Linked DNA regions of Schizosaccharomyces pombe. Changing the gene in region 1 together with any one later gene gives a genetic interaction. Each region holds a gene or a part of one and is shown on either strand. Other genes may lie near its edges. The genes, in order: cdc14, dnt1 and clp1.

What was found.
Region 2: of cdc14 (region 1) and dnt1, a mutation in one rescues a mutant of the other (synthetic rescue), as found in Schizosaccharomyces pombe (2 studies listed by BioGRID).
Region 3: mutations in cdc14 (region 1) and clp1 are lethal when combined (synthetic lethality), as found in Schizosaccharomyces pombe (2 studies listed by BioGRID, with this or other methods).

What each region holds. Positions count from the first base shown.
Region 1 is NC_003423.3:2,330,095-2,333,930, reverse strand, and holds the start of cdc14 (SIN component Cdc14), read right to left. Parts: upstream 1,806-3,836; 5' UTR 1,662-1,805; coding exon 939-1,661; 3' UTR 758-938; coding exon of another isoform or gene 1-757. Other genes in the region: folliculin bhd1, read left to right, coding at 1-757; gpa1 (G-protein alpha subunit), read right to left, coding at 2,370-3,593. UniProt on the Schizosaccharomyces pombe protein: Has a role in the septation initiation network (SIN) required for cytokinesis.
Region 2 is NC_003423.3:3,714,985-3,718,820, reverse strand, and holds the start of dnt1 (nucleolar protein Dnt1), read left to right. Parts: upstream 1-1,602; 5' UTR 1,603-1,769; coding exon 1,770-1,912; exon of another isoform or gene 1,913-1,964; coding exon 1,965-3,621; 3' UTR 3,622-3,836. Other genes in the region: MCM complex subunit Mcm7, read left to right, coding at 1-1,183. UniProt on the Schizosaccharomyces pombe protein: Negatively regulates the septation initiation network (SIN) pathway, independently of the cdc14 phosphatase clp1. May also have a role in silencing rDNA transcription. Required for maintaining the exclusive nucleolus localization of nuc1.
Region 3 is NC_003424.3:4,769,707-4,773,306, reverse strand, and holds clp1 (Cdc14 family protein phosphatase Clp1), read left to right. Parts: upstream 1-1,590; 5' UTR 1,591-1,647; coding exon 1,648-1,696; exon of another isoform or gene 1,697-1,751; coding exon 1,752-3,316; downstream 3,317-3,600. Other genes in the region: box H/ACA snoRNP complex subunit Nhp2, read left to right, coding at 161-625. UniProt on the Schizosaccharomyces pombe protein: Protein phosphatase which antagonizes mitotic cyclin-dependent kinase cdc2, the inactivation of which is essential for exit from mitosis. To access its substrates, is released from nucleolar sequestration during mitosis.

The DNA.
Region 1 (3,836 bases):
AAAATCATCTTGTGTTACATGTAGTACTGTTTTACCCCTTGAATTCTCTGTACCTGATGTTCAACCACGACTTTATACAAACTCAAGTACAAACCCCGATGTTTTATACATGTCTAGTCAACATCCACATACTCAGCAACGATATTCTACCCTTAAGCGATTAATGGTTCGCTGCTTGAGCTGTGAATATTCAACACTATCTGAAGCTTCCGATTCTATGTCAAATCCTTTGTTCTTTGGAGACCAAGATAACGGTTACGTTATTAGTCAGTCTTTTTCTTTAAGAGATCCCTCTGCCCGGGGAGGACTTCGAAGATATGCGATTATTGCTACTTGTCCAAATCAGTTAGATTTGATTTTGCGATATAGTTTTATTTCTGAAAAGTTTCTTCATATAGTCCAGTTTCTAAGGATTTCTTCTTTCAATACAAAGAATGACTACTCCTCCTCCCGTTCAAAAACAACAGCCTCCTCTAGCAATGGAACGTTTGCATCCCCCAGTTTTAACATTTCTTCGTTATCGGGTTCTTCAAATATAGGAACTGCTCCTTCGTATGAGATATCCTCTAGTATCGGTGCAAATGTGTCATCTTTGGCCCACACACAAAGACTTCCTTCTTTCAGTTTTTTGCGTCGTCGAGACGATATTGGGGAGGGACGCAGTTTAGTTGATATCACATGTTGGGACGGAATCTTTGTCGGTCTTCACAGTTCGTTTAGCTGGATTCTGGAGGTTTGGGATCTCTTAGTAGTATGAAAGTAAAACTGGTTGACTTTTTACAAATGCTATAGGATGCTGGAATACTTTCAATAGTAAGATGATCGATTAATAATTTAACATTAACATTAGAAATTCTTTAGTAAATGAATACTAAATTTTCAAAAATAAGTTAACAATGAGACTTTAAACATTTTTTTGCACCAGGCATTGCATCTAACTAGTCGAATGTTTCGTCTAACTTGCCAAATGGTTGAAACTTATCTAAATCATCTCGAAGCCCTTGTACGTTAGAAAGATATTTGGATAGGTAAGCTTGTTTCTCAGTCCGCGTTTTCCTGTAGGCAATGACATCTATAGAATATGGTTCAGGGGATAAATAGAAATAGAAAAATTCGAGAATTTGAAATCGGGTGTCCTGACTTGTTTGTTTGTGCTTAAAAACTACGCATATCTGCTGCAAGCCATTAATCTGCTCAAAAAGCCTAATAGCCAGTGGACGATCTGCCATGATACATACAAGCGTTTTCATTGCAGCCACTTGCAACATAGATGGCTGAGATGGCTGTAATAAATGAATAAATAACCTTAAGGTAGCTTTATCTTCAAATAACGTCTGTGATTTTGGATGGATTAAAACCAATCCTTCAATCACATGCAGTAAGTCATCAATTAGCTTTTGAATGAATTGAAAGTTTTTTTCGTATGCCTCTTCATTCTGCTGATATTCAAGGAGACTGTCCAAAGCGTAAATGCAAGGGGTAGTAGAATTATACAATGGTGAATCCTGTAATTTTAGGAAAATTTCTCTTGGAATTTTATCATCATGACTAGGTTTCGCAACATGATATACAATAGATTCGACTTGACGCAAACCAATTCGAATTAGCTTTGGATTCCTCATACACAAATGCTGTTTAGCATTGTTTAATAGATCTTCCATACCGGATCATTATTTACTCATGCCAAGCGGGCAATAAAAATCCTTATTATAAATAAAAGTAAATTGAATCTTCGTTTAGTTAAAGATAAAAAAGAGACTCTATATTCGTTCTTAGTAATGATATAAATAGTAGGGTGGAGTGTTGAAGCAGCTACATTAAATTGCTATTTTCTAAAACTTGAGGTTTTGGGAGAGAAAACACCAGCTTGCTAAGATAGGATACAATTGAATATTAACAGGCGAATTGGAGCCATATTTGAAAAAGGGGCCTAAAATAACAAAACAAGCAACATCGAGTCCTTATAGATTTATATTTAGTTTACGATCAAATCCGCCTAATTTAATTATATTAATATCAATGGGTTTAGTTTGTCTCAAACGGTTGACATGAAAAAATTTAGATATTAAATTAAACAATAGTTATGTATTAATCGTAAAATTATCAAATAACAAAAACTGCAGTTAATTTTGAGCTATTTAAAACAATATAAGATTACACGAAGCTTCGAAGAAGCTATGAAATAAAACAATTAGAATGCACTAATTAACAGTTTCGATGGAGAAATAACACATGAAGTGCATACAAAATGCAAGGAAATTAACTAGAGACACCATTCACGGAAAAGTATAGAGGCTTTTCCTAGAGTGCGAATGAAAGTAGAGAAATGAGACAGAAAAGATTATGAAGATAGTTAAGGAAAAATTCATCTAAAACATAAGTGACTGTAGATTGTTGGACATAATCGTATCTTGAACGGATACCATTACCCTTTGGAGCAAACTAGTGTCTGTAGCTGTGGTAAAATGGCAATAGCAACTACGAGAAGCGATGCGATTAAGACTTTCAAACTTTAAGTAAAAGTAATACATACCGCTTCGAACTGCGTTGTCGGCAAGAGGGCATTGAGTTTGTACGAATGTTGGTGTTGAACCAACTTCTTGGTAATCAGGAAAATGCTTCTGGATGGGGGAAATGTGAACCTTTCTTTTAAATAAATCAAGTTTATTTAGAAAAAGTATCATTGCTGATTCTGAAAACCAGCTAGAGTTACATATGGAATCCCATAATAATAACGCCTCCTGCATCTGATTTCCTGAATTGTCCTCTACAAGGCATTGATCGTAACCTGCCAAAGAAACGAGAAACAACAATGCAGTGACATTTTCAAAGCAATGAATCCATTTTCTGCGCTCTGATCTCTGTCCTCCTACATCAAAAAATCGGTAATGATGACGATTTAACAGAAATGTTTCTTCTGATATACCGGTCGTCTTGATACGACAGTGAAGGATATCTTGATCAGAAGGTATATATTGTGGGTCAAAAATTCGATCAATGTGATCTTGATAGTAATAAAAATTGTCTAACAAAGAGAGGTTGGTACCACAACTTTGCACCGTACGAAGTTTGGTATCCAATGTCAAGGCATGAACAGCTTCATATATTTCTGGAGAAAATGGCTCATTGGGTTGAGAAGTGTGTTTTCTTAGGATAACTGCCCGATACTTCTCATTTTCCGGAAGTAAAGAGACATTACTATTATCCATAGCTTCAAGAAGAAGACATAGAGAGGAGATGATATTTTCAAAAATCATCACTCGATACTGCTTTCTAACTACTTGACTAAAACCGGGGCTATACAATAATCTCATCTGCTTCATAATGGTCGTTTTCCCACTATCACCGGCGCCTAAGAGCAAAACTTTAATGTCATTTCCACCTGAAGTAGAATTTCCTTTTACGCGTACTCCAGAACTTTCCACATTTTGTGGTTTTCCACGCAGGACGATATTAAGCCAGTTTTCAAGGACTGGAACTCGAGCGTTTTGACTTCCAGTTGTAGAGCTGTTTGAGGTTTGCGTATCTGAAAGCTTCTTTTGAATGACTTCTCCTCCTGATGTATCAGCGTATTTACTCGACATGCATCCCATGGTGAAAAGGCAGCTACAGATTCCAAATCCCCACAAGGAGATAATTCAAAGTCGAGACAAAGAAAGTTAATCTCCGCAATTTTCTGTAAAAACAGCAGAAAAGGTGATAAATAAGGATTTTTGGATTAAAAAAGAAATAATAGATGTCGTTAAATCTCAAATATTTGTGAAGTGGACCCAACTATAAGCAAAAAACCCAATTGCCAGATAATTCCAAGAGATCCAAAAGAATACTATTATATA
Region 2 (3,836 bases), 1.4 Mb from region 1:
ACATGAAGATGTTAAAAAAGCTTTACTTCTGTTGCTTGTCGGAGGTGTTACTAAAGAGTTAGGGGATGGAATGAGAATTCGTGGTGACATAAATATTTGTTTAACTGGTGATCCTGGTGTCGCAAAATCTCAATTATTAAAGTATATTTCGAAGGTTGCCCCGAGAGGAGTATACACCACAGGTCGTGGATCTTCAGGTGTTGGTTTAACTGCTGCTGTAATGCGTGATCCAGTGACGGATGAAATGGTTTTAGAGGGAGGTGCCTTAGTACTTGCTGACAACGGTATTTGCTGCATTGACGAATTTGATAAGATGGATGAAAGTGACCGTACAGCAATTCATGAAGTAATGGAACAGCAAACTATTTCAATTTCAAAGGCAGGAATCACTACGACTTTAAATGCTCGAACAAGTATTTTGGCCGCTGCGAACCCCTTATATGGACGATATAATCCGAAAGTGGCACCAATCCACAATATAAATCTTCCAGCTGCACTGCTTTCCCGGTTTGATATTTTATTTTTAATTTTAGATACTCCTTCTCGTGAAACAGACGAGCATTTGGCACAACACGTAACATATGTTCACATGCATAACGAACAACCTAAAATGGACTTTGAACCATTAGATCCAAACATGATTAGGCATTATATTTCTTCTGCTAGACAATATCGCCCAGTCGTACCAAAGGATGTATGCGACTATGTTACTGGTGCTTATGTTCAACTTCGACAAAACCAAAAGCGTGATGAAGCCAATGAGCGTCAATTCGCTCACACTACTCCACGTACACTTCTCGCTATTTTGCGAATGGGACAAGCATTAGCTCGTTTGCGTTTCAGTAATAGAGTGGAGATTGGCGATGTTGATGAAGCTTTGAGATTAATGTCTGTTTCAAAGTCATCACTATACGATGATTTGGATCCTAGTTCTCACGATACTACTATTACCTCGAAAATATATAAAATTATTCGAGACATGCTTAATAGCATACCAGATGTTGAAGGCAATGAACGCTCACTTACACTACGTGCTATTCGTGAACGCGTACTTGCTAAGGGTTTTACTGAAGATCATTTAATAAATACAATACAGGAATATACAGACCTTGGTGTTCTTTTAACTACAAACAATGGTCAAACAATAATGTTCCTCGATCCGGATTTACATATGGAGAATTAACAATTTACTAATAGATAACTCCTATCATTTAATTTTTCTGCCAATTAATTGCTTTAAGCTAATTTACAACCTATAGAAATTATTCTGAGACGTCAAACTACTTTTCTGTTGAATATTCTTTAATTCTGACTAATACATCTGTCGTTCTTTTAATCTATGATAGTTTATTTACTTGTATTCAAATGTTAATTCACGCAATTGAAAGGAAGATATATTAAGCCAATATGTTTCGTTAGATTTGGAAGGACCATAAAACCTTAAGATACGTGTCAATATGCTCGAGTCGTAGGAATGAGTAATGAGTTTTTATTTCTTGACATTTAGCATTATTTTACACCTTTAACTTGTTCATCACTGCTGTCCCACCCTTCCTGCTGTCATGCCGAGTAAATTGCGAATAGAACTTTACGCACTTCCTTAGAGCAACCAACTTTGGATACCCATTGGTGTCAAGAAATGGGCATTCCATTTTAAATAACTTACTTTGTTTTAACGTCTTTTTAATACTGATTAATTCCATTATAACTAGTTTGCCGGATCCACTTCTCCGTAAGAATCAAATAAAGAAATTTGCTGAATATTCGAAATGAGAACTACATTAAGGCTTCATATAATCAAAGATGGTGAACAAGATAATCAATTTATGATTCTGTTTGACCCATCTTCTTCAATTTCTTTATTAAAAGAAAAAGTGCAGGAAACTTACAAATCACTTTATCCTTTTGAATCGTAAGCATAGCAGCATGCTCCATCTTTCTACTATTAACGAAAATTATTATAGAAATATAAACATAAGAAATATAAAAAATGAAGAAAGCTACGACATTCCTAATGAGTACTTAGTCGGTGAAATCTTTCCCACTAATTCCAAGGTCATTGTCGAATCATTCTCTTCTCCGTTGAAGAAATTAGATGGGACTATGATAAACTTCAAAGAAAAAAATATTCAACATGATTTAGATGGCGTTGAAAATGATTTCGCTACTGTCCAAAGTGCATCTAATGGTGTTCATGCAATCAATGGGAAGCGTACGCATCCGGATGAGAGTGAAAACCCTCGAAAACTACCAAAAAAAAATTTTGTAGAGGCAATTGATGCGAACTCTCCTGGATTTGTATACAGACCAACTAGTATTCGCGATCGAGCATACTCAATTTCTTCAAATCATGATAATGAAAGTACATTAACCGAAGGGATTGCTTTAAAAGAAATTGAAAGTCCAGATAAAGATAGAAAGGCTGACGGTATAGTTAATTTATCAGTTACTCAGGAGGAAGATGATAATCACCAATCCTTCAATAGTTCCTTAACACCAAGTCAACCAACAACTTATAATCGAGCTAACTTTTTTTCAATTAACGATGCGTCTTCTGATTCATCGTCAGATGCTCCCTTGCGAACTTTATCATCGCCTTCCCGTCTTCGCATGAAAGATAATGATAGAAAATATTTAGTCGAACATTCTCCTGCCGCATTAATTAAAGAAAGTGAAACCATTGATGGAATTGATGATAAATCATTGCGTTCTTCTACTCGAGAAGTTTCTGTTGAAAGCCCAAATGAAGATTCAGTCAATGATGACAGTTCATCAGATGTATCCGATGAAAAAGAAACGGAGGCAAAGCATGAAATTAGAGCTCCTGCAATAATAGTTAGAGAAACTTCATCTCATCCATCCACTGCCGTTCCTTCCGAAAACGATACCACCGAATCGGAGAACGATACCCTTTCTGAATCCTCTACGACCTCTATATCTTCTTCCCCGTCCGAAAATTCAGATACTAGTGATGATTTAACGAAGGTTGATAGCCCGAATAAATCTCTGGTTAATGATAACGTTTCAGCTAAGCATGATAAAGAAAGTGAGAATGGTAAAAGCAAATTTCCCCCTCCTTCCCAGACCCTTGTTACTACATCGACGATATCTGCAGCGGGAAATGAACCTTCTGATGAGATTGGTTCTGAAAATGATTCAGATTCGGATTCAGACTCGGACTCCTCTGTTCCTTTAAGTCAACTACAGAAGAAATCACAACAACGAAATTCTGTATCTCACGAGATACAGAATAGAGGAACCAAAGGATCCCCGAAGGAACCTAAAGCTAAGCCTTCTACGGAAAGACCGGAGACTCATAGGACATTGTCTTACTCACGTCTTTCAGAATTGTCTAAAACGTTTTCTCCTGAAATTAGAGAACCTTCTCTTACGAAGAAGACCGCGGTCAGTATGCAGGAATCAAAAGAAGAAGGGCGTTCTGATGAATCTTCTGAAAGTGAAGAGTCAGGGAGTTCTTCAGATGAAAGCGACAATTCGGAGAAGGAAGATAGATCCAATCCTATTCCCGTTGAGAAAAGAGCAAGTACTGTACTAAATACAAAGAAAAAGAGGAAAGCCAAAAGAAACAGTGCTTTGGCTGGCTTGGCGGCCCTAGTGTAAATTTCTTGTTTTTGATTAACTCCCTTTACGCTCGTTTTTTTTTTTTTTTTCATCATAAGTCCAATAGCAAAAGAATTCTGTAATAGCGTTGTTGTGCTATCATATTGCGTATATAATAAATTTAGTTTTCTTGGCTTTCTGCATAATTTTGACTTATTAATAAAATTACATGTTAATTAGCTAGCAAAACTTGATTTAACTTTGATGCTGATAAA
Region 3 (3,600 bases), on another chromosome or scaffold:
ATTATGTCAATTTAAGGAATATTACCAAAGCTGGTATCTTAAAATTACGTATTATACAGATGGCTTAACAGACTATTATCCGCTACATAGCGTTACTGAAAAAAGTTTTATTGGGATCATCTTTTGGGCTTCCAAACTTATCCTTCTCCATTTCTTTATCATGGCAAAAGATAAAAAAGACCATAAGCATAGTGGAAGCACCGAAGATGAGTATGATTCATATCTTCCTGCTTTAATGCCAATTGCTAAGCCTTTAGCTCCTAAAAAATTGAACAAAAAAATGATGAAGACTGTCAAGAAGGCTTCGAAGCAGAAACACATCCTTCGTGGGGTCAAAGAGGTTGTAAAGGCTGTTAGAAAAGGAGAGAAGGGTCTTGTAATTCTTGCTGGTGATATTTCTCCCATGGATGTTATATCTCATATTCCAGTATTATGTGAAGACAATAATGTCCCTTACTTATATACTGTTTCCAAAGAGTTGCTTGGTGAAGCATCAAACACCAAGAGACCTACTAGCTGTGTTATGATTGTTCCCGGTGGAAAAAAGAAGGACATGTCTAAAGTTGAGGAGTACAAGGAAAGCTACGAGGAAATTATAAAAGAAGTACCTGCTCTTGAAGTTTAATTGTTCAATATCTAAAAGATGCTTAGCCATTTAATGTAGATTATTATATACTATTAAAATTTGGTATTTATCCTGGGATTTAACTTTTGGTATATCATGTCTGTTTGCTTGATAGTAAGCGAAAAGAAGTTTTGCTTAATGGTCGGTTTTAAGGTTTCAAAAAATTTCCTTTTTAATCTAGTGTTTTATCATTCTTTCTTATGCCCTAGTATTTTATGGGTTTAGACTGGTTTGCGAGCAAACTAATCACTATACCTCCAAAACTTTGTTAGCAATAATATCGTATCATTTACCAACTTATATGAGAATGGTATATCGCTGTAACAGCGATGAAATATCAACTGATTTTTCCTCAAATTTCGTTTACGCTGATCGTTTCATTACGGATTTAGCCTGTGTTTATTTCTAACTAGTTGCGCAAAAAAGTTTTATTATTCGTTTAGGTTGCTATTTAGTATTCAGAGGCGGCGTGTTAGAACCAGTTTACAACTAACTTAAATTTCACCCAACGTCGTTCTTACCATTATAATGTTTACAAATATTATGCTTTCCAGTGCTATCCATAAATGATAGATTAGGGTAGCTTTAAAGGTCCGGCAATTATATGGTTATCTATCCGGATTTTGTTATCGGATTTAAATATATTTGCTAAAACAAATCGAATTTCAGATAAAAAAGTTGGGTTGTATTTGTATGAGCAAAAAGTATTCTGTATGTTTATCATAAATTGATGTGCATTTTTACTTACTTTGTAAGATAATGATTATTGTTGTTTATTTACTATAGTGTTGCTAAAAGTTAATGTCTTTTTTTTTTTAATAAAGAGAAAAGATTAAATGTCAACATAACGTTGTGTATAGTTTAGAATCCACTTTTGTCTTCATTTGTTTCGCACCCCACATATTTTCTTGTGCATTATCATCCCTTCTATTTACAAGGACCACCAACACCCAGGTACACAATTTAGAACTCAACCATTACGGGTTTGACGAATATAGACGAGATTCGCAATTACTTGTCTGATGGATTACCAAGATGATGGGCTTGGTGAAATGATTGAGTTTTTGGAGGGTATGCATGAAGTTTAACTCAAATATCTCGTAAAATTGATTAACATGTTAAATAGACAAGTTATACTACACATCATTGTCGCAACCACCTAAAGCCGAGTTATATCCTCATATGCATTTTTTTACTATCGATGATGAATTGATCTACAACCCTTTTTATCATGACTTTGGTCCGCTGAACGTGAGTCATCTTATTAGATTTGCAGTGATAGTTCATGGTATCATGGGAAAACACAGACAAGCTAAGAAAAGCAAGGCTATAGTTTTATATTCTTCTACAGATACAAGGTTGCGTGCAAATGCCGCTTGTTTGTTAGCTTGCTACATGGTGTTAGTACAAAACTGGCCTCCACATCTCGCATTAGCCCCTTTAGCTCAGGCAGAACCTCCTTTTTTGGGGTTTAGAGATGCGGGATATGCTGTTTCAGATTACTATATCACGATTCAAGATTGTGTTTACGGACTGTGGAGAGCACGAGAGAGCAGCATACTAAATATACGTAATATCGATGTTCATGACTATGAAACTTATGAAAGAGTGGAGAATGGAGATTTTAATTGGATATCTCCTAAGTTTATAGCATTTGCAAGTCCTATTCAGGCTGGTTGGAATCATGCGAGCACACGTCCAAAGAAACTTCCTCAACCGTTTGCGATAGTTCTCGATTATTTCGTCGCTAATAAGGTCAAACTGATAGTTAGGCTTAATGGACCTCTTTACGATAAAAAGACTTTTGAAAATGTTGGAATTCGACATAAAGAGATGTATTTTGAGGATGGCACAGTTCCAGAGCTTTCTCTTGTCAAAGAGTTTATTGACCTTACCGAGGAAGTAGAAGAAGACGGTGTGATTGCTGTTCATTGCAAAGCAGGGCTCGGACGTACTGGATGCTTAATTGGCGCATATTTAATATACAAACATTGTTTTACTGCTAATGAAGTTATTGCTTACATGAGAATAATGCGTCCTGGAATGGTTGTAGGTCCACAACAGCATTGGTTACATATTAATCAAGTTCATTTCCGTGCATATTTTTACGAAAAGGCGATGGGAAGAGCAATCCAACAGGCCACCGCTGCGGAACCCTTAGCTACTCCTCCTCGCCATCCATTGAATGCTACGAATGGTACCTCTCAAAGCAATATCAGTACTCCTCTTCCAGAACCAACGCCTGGCCAACCGAGAAAAGTTTCTGGACATAATCCACCGTCGGCGAGACGTCTCCCTTCAGCGTCCTCTGTCAAATTTAATGAGAAACTTAAAAATGCTTCCAAGCAATCAATCCAAAATGAGAACAAAGCGTCATACAGTAGTTACGAAGATTCAGAAATACAAAATGATGATGAAACACGGACTGTTGGAACTCCAACTGAAACAATTTCAGTGGTTCGCTTGCGTCGCTCATCAAGTCAAAGCAATATCGAACCAAATGGAGTTCGTTCTCCGACATCCTCACCAACTGGTAGTCCAATTCGACGTACAAGTGGAAATAGGTGGTCTAGTGGGTCTAGTCATTCTAAAAAAAGTGCTCAGCGAAGTGTTAGCATGTCATCACTTAACAATACTTCTAATGGCCGTGTTGCTAAACCTAAGCCTTCTAAAAGCCGGCTAATTTCTTAATAAACCTGTAATTACTGGTTTAAATGGCAGTTTTTACATTCCTTTTTTTCATATAAACTAACTTTGAATTATACTGTGTCAACCCTGCATAATTTTTCATTAATTAACTTTACAAATATTCCCTGATTTAGCGCACCTTTGCGCGGTGGGGATCACCACCATTAATGTCTTAGCTATCCTTTTTGTTAACTAACATTCATATTTCTTTGGAAAAAACTTTGGCTTTTTGCAAGCCATGGTTAATGATTTTAATCGAGAAATTGTTTTGGTTATGATATAAAAAG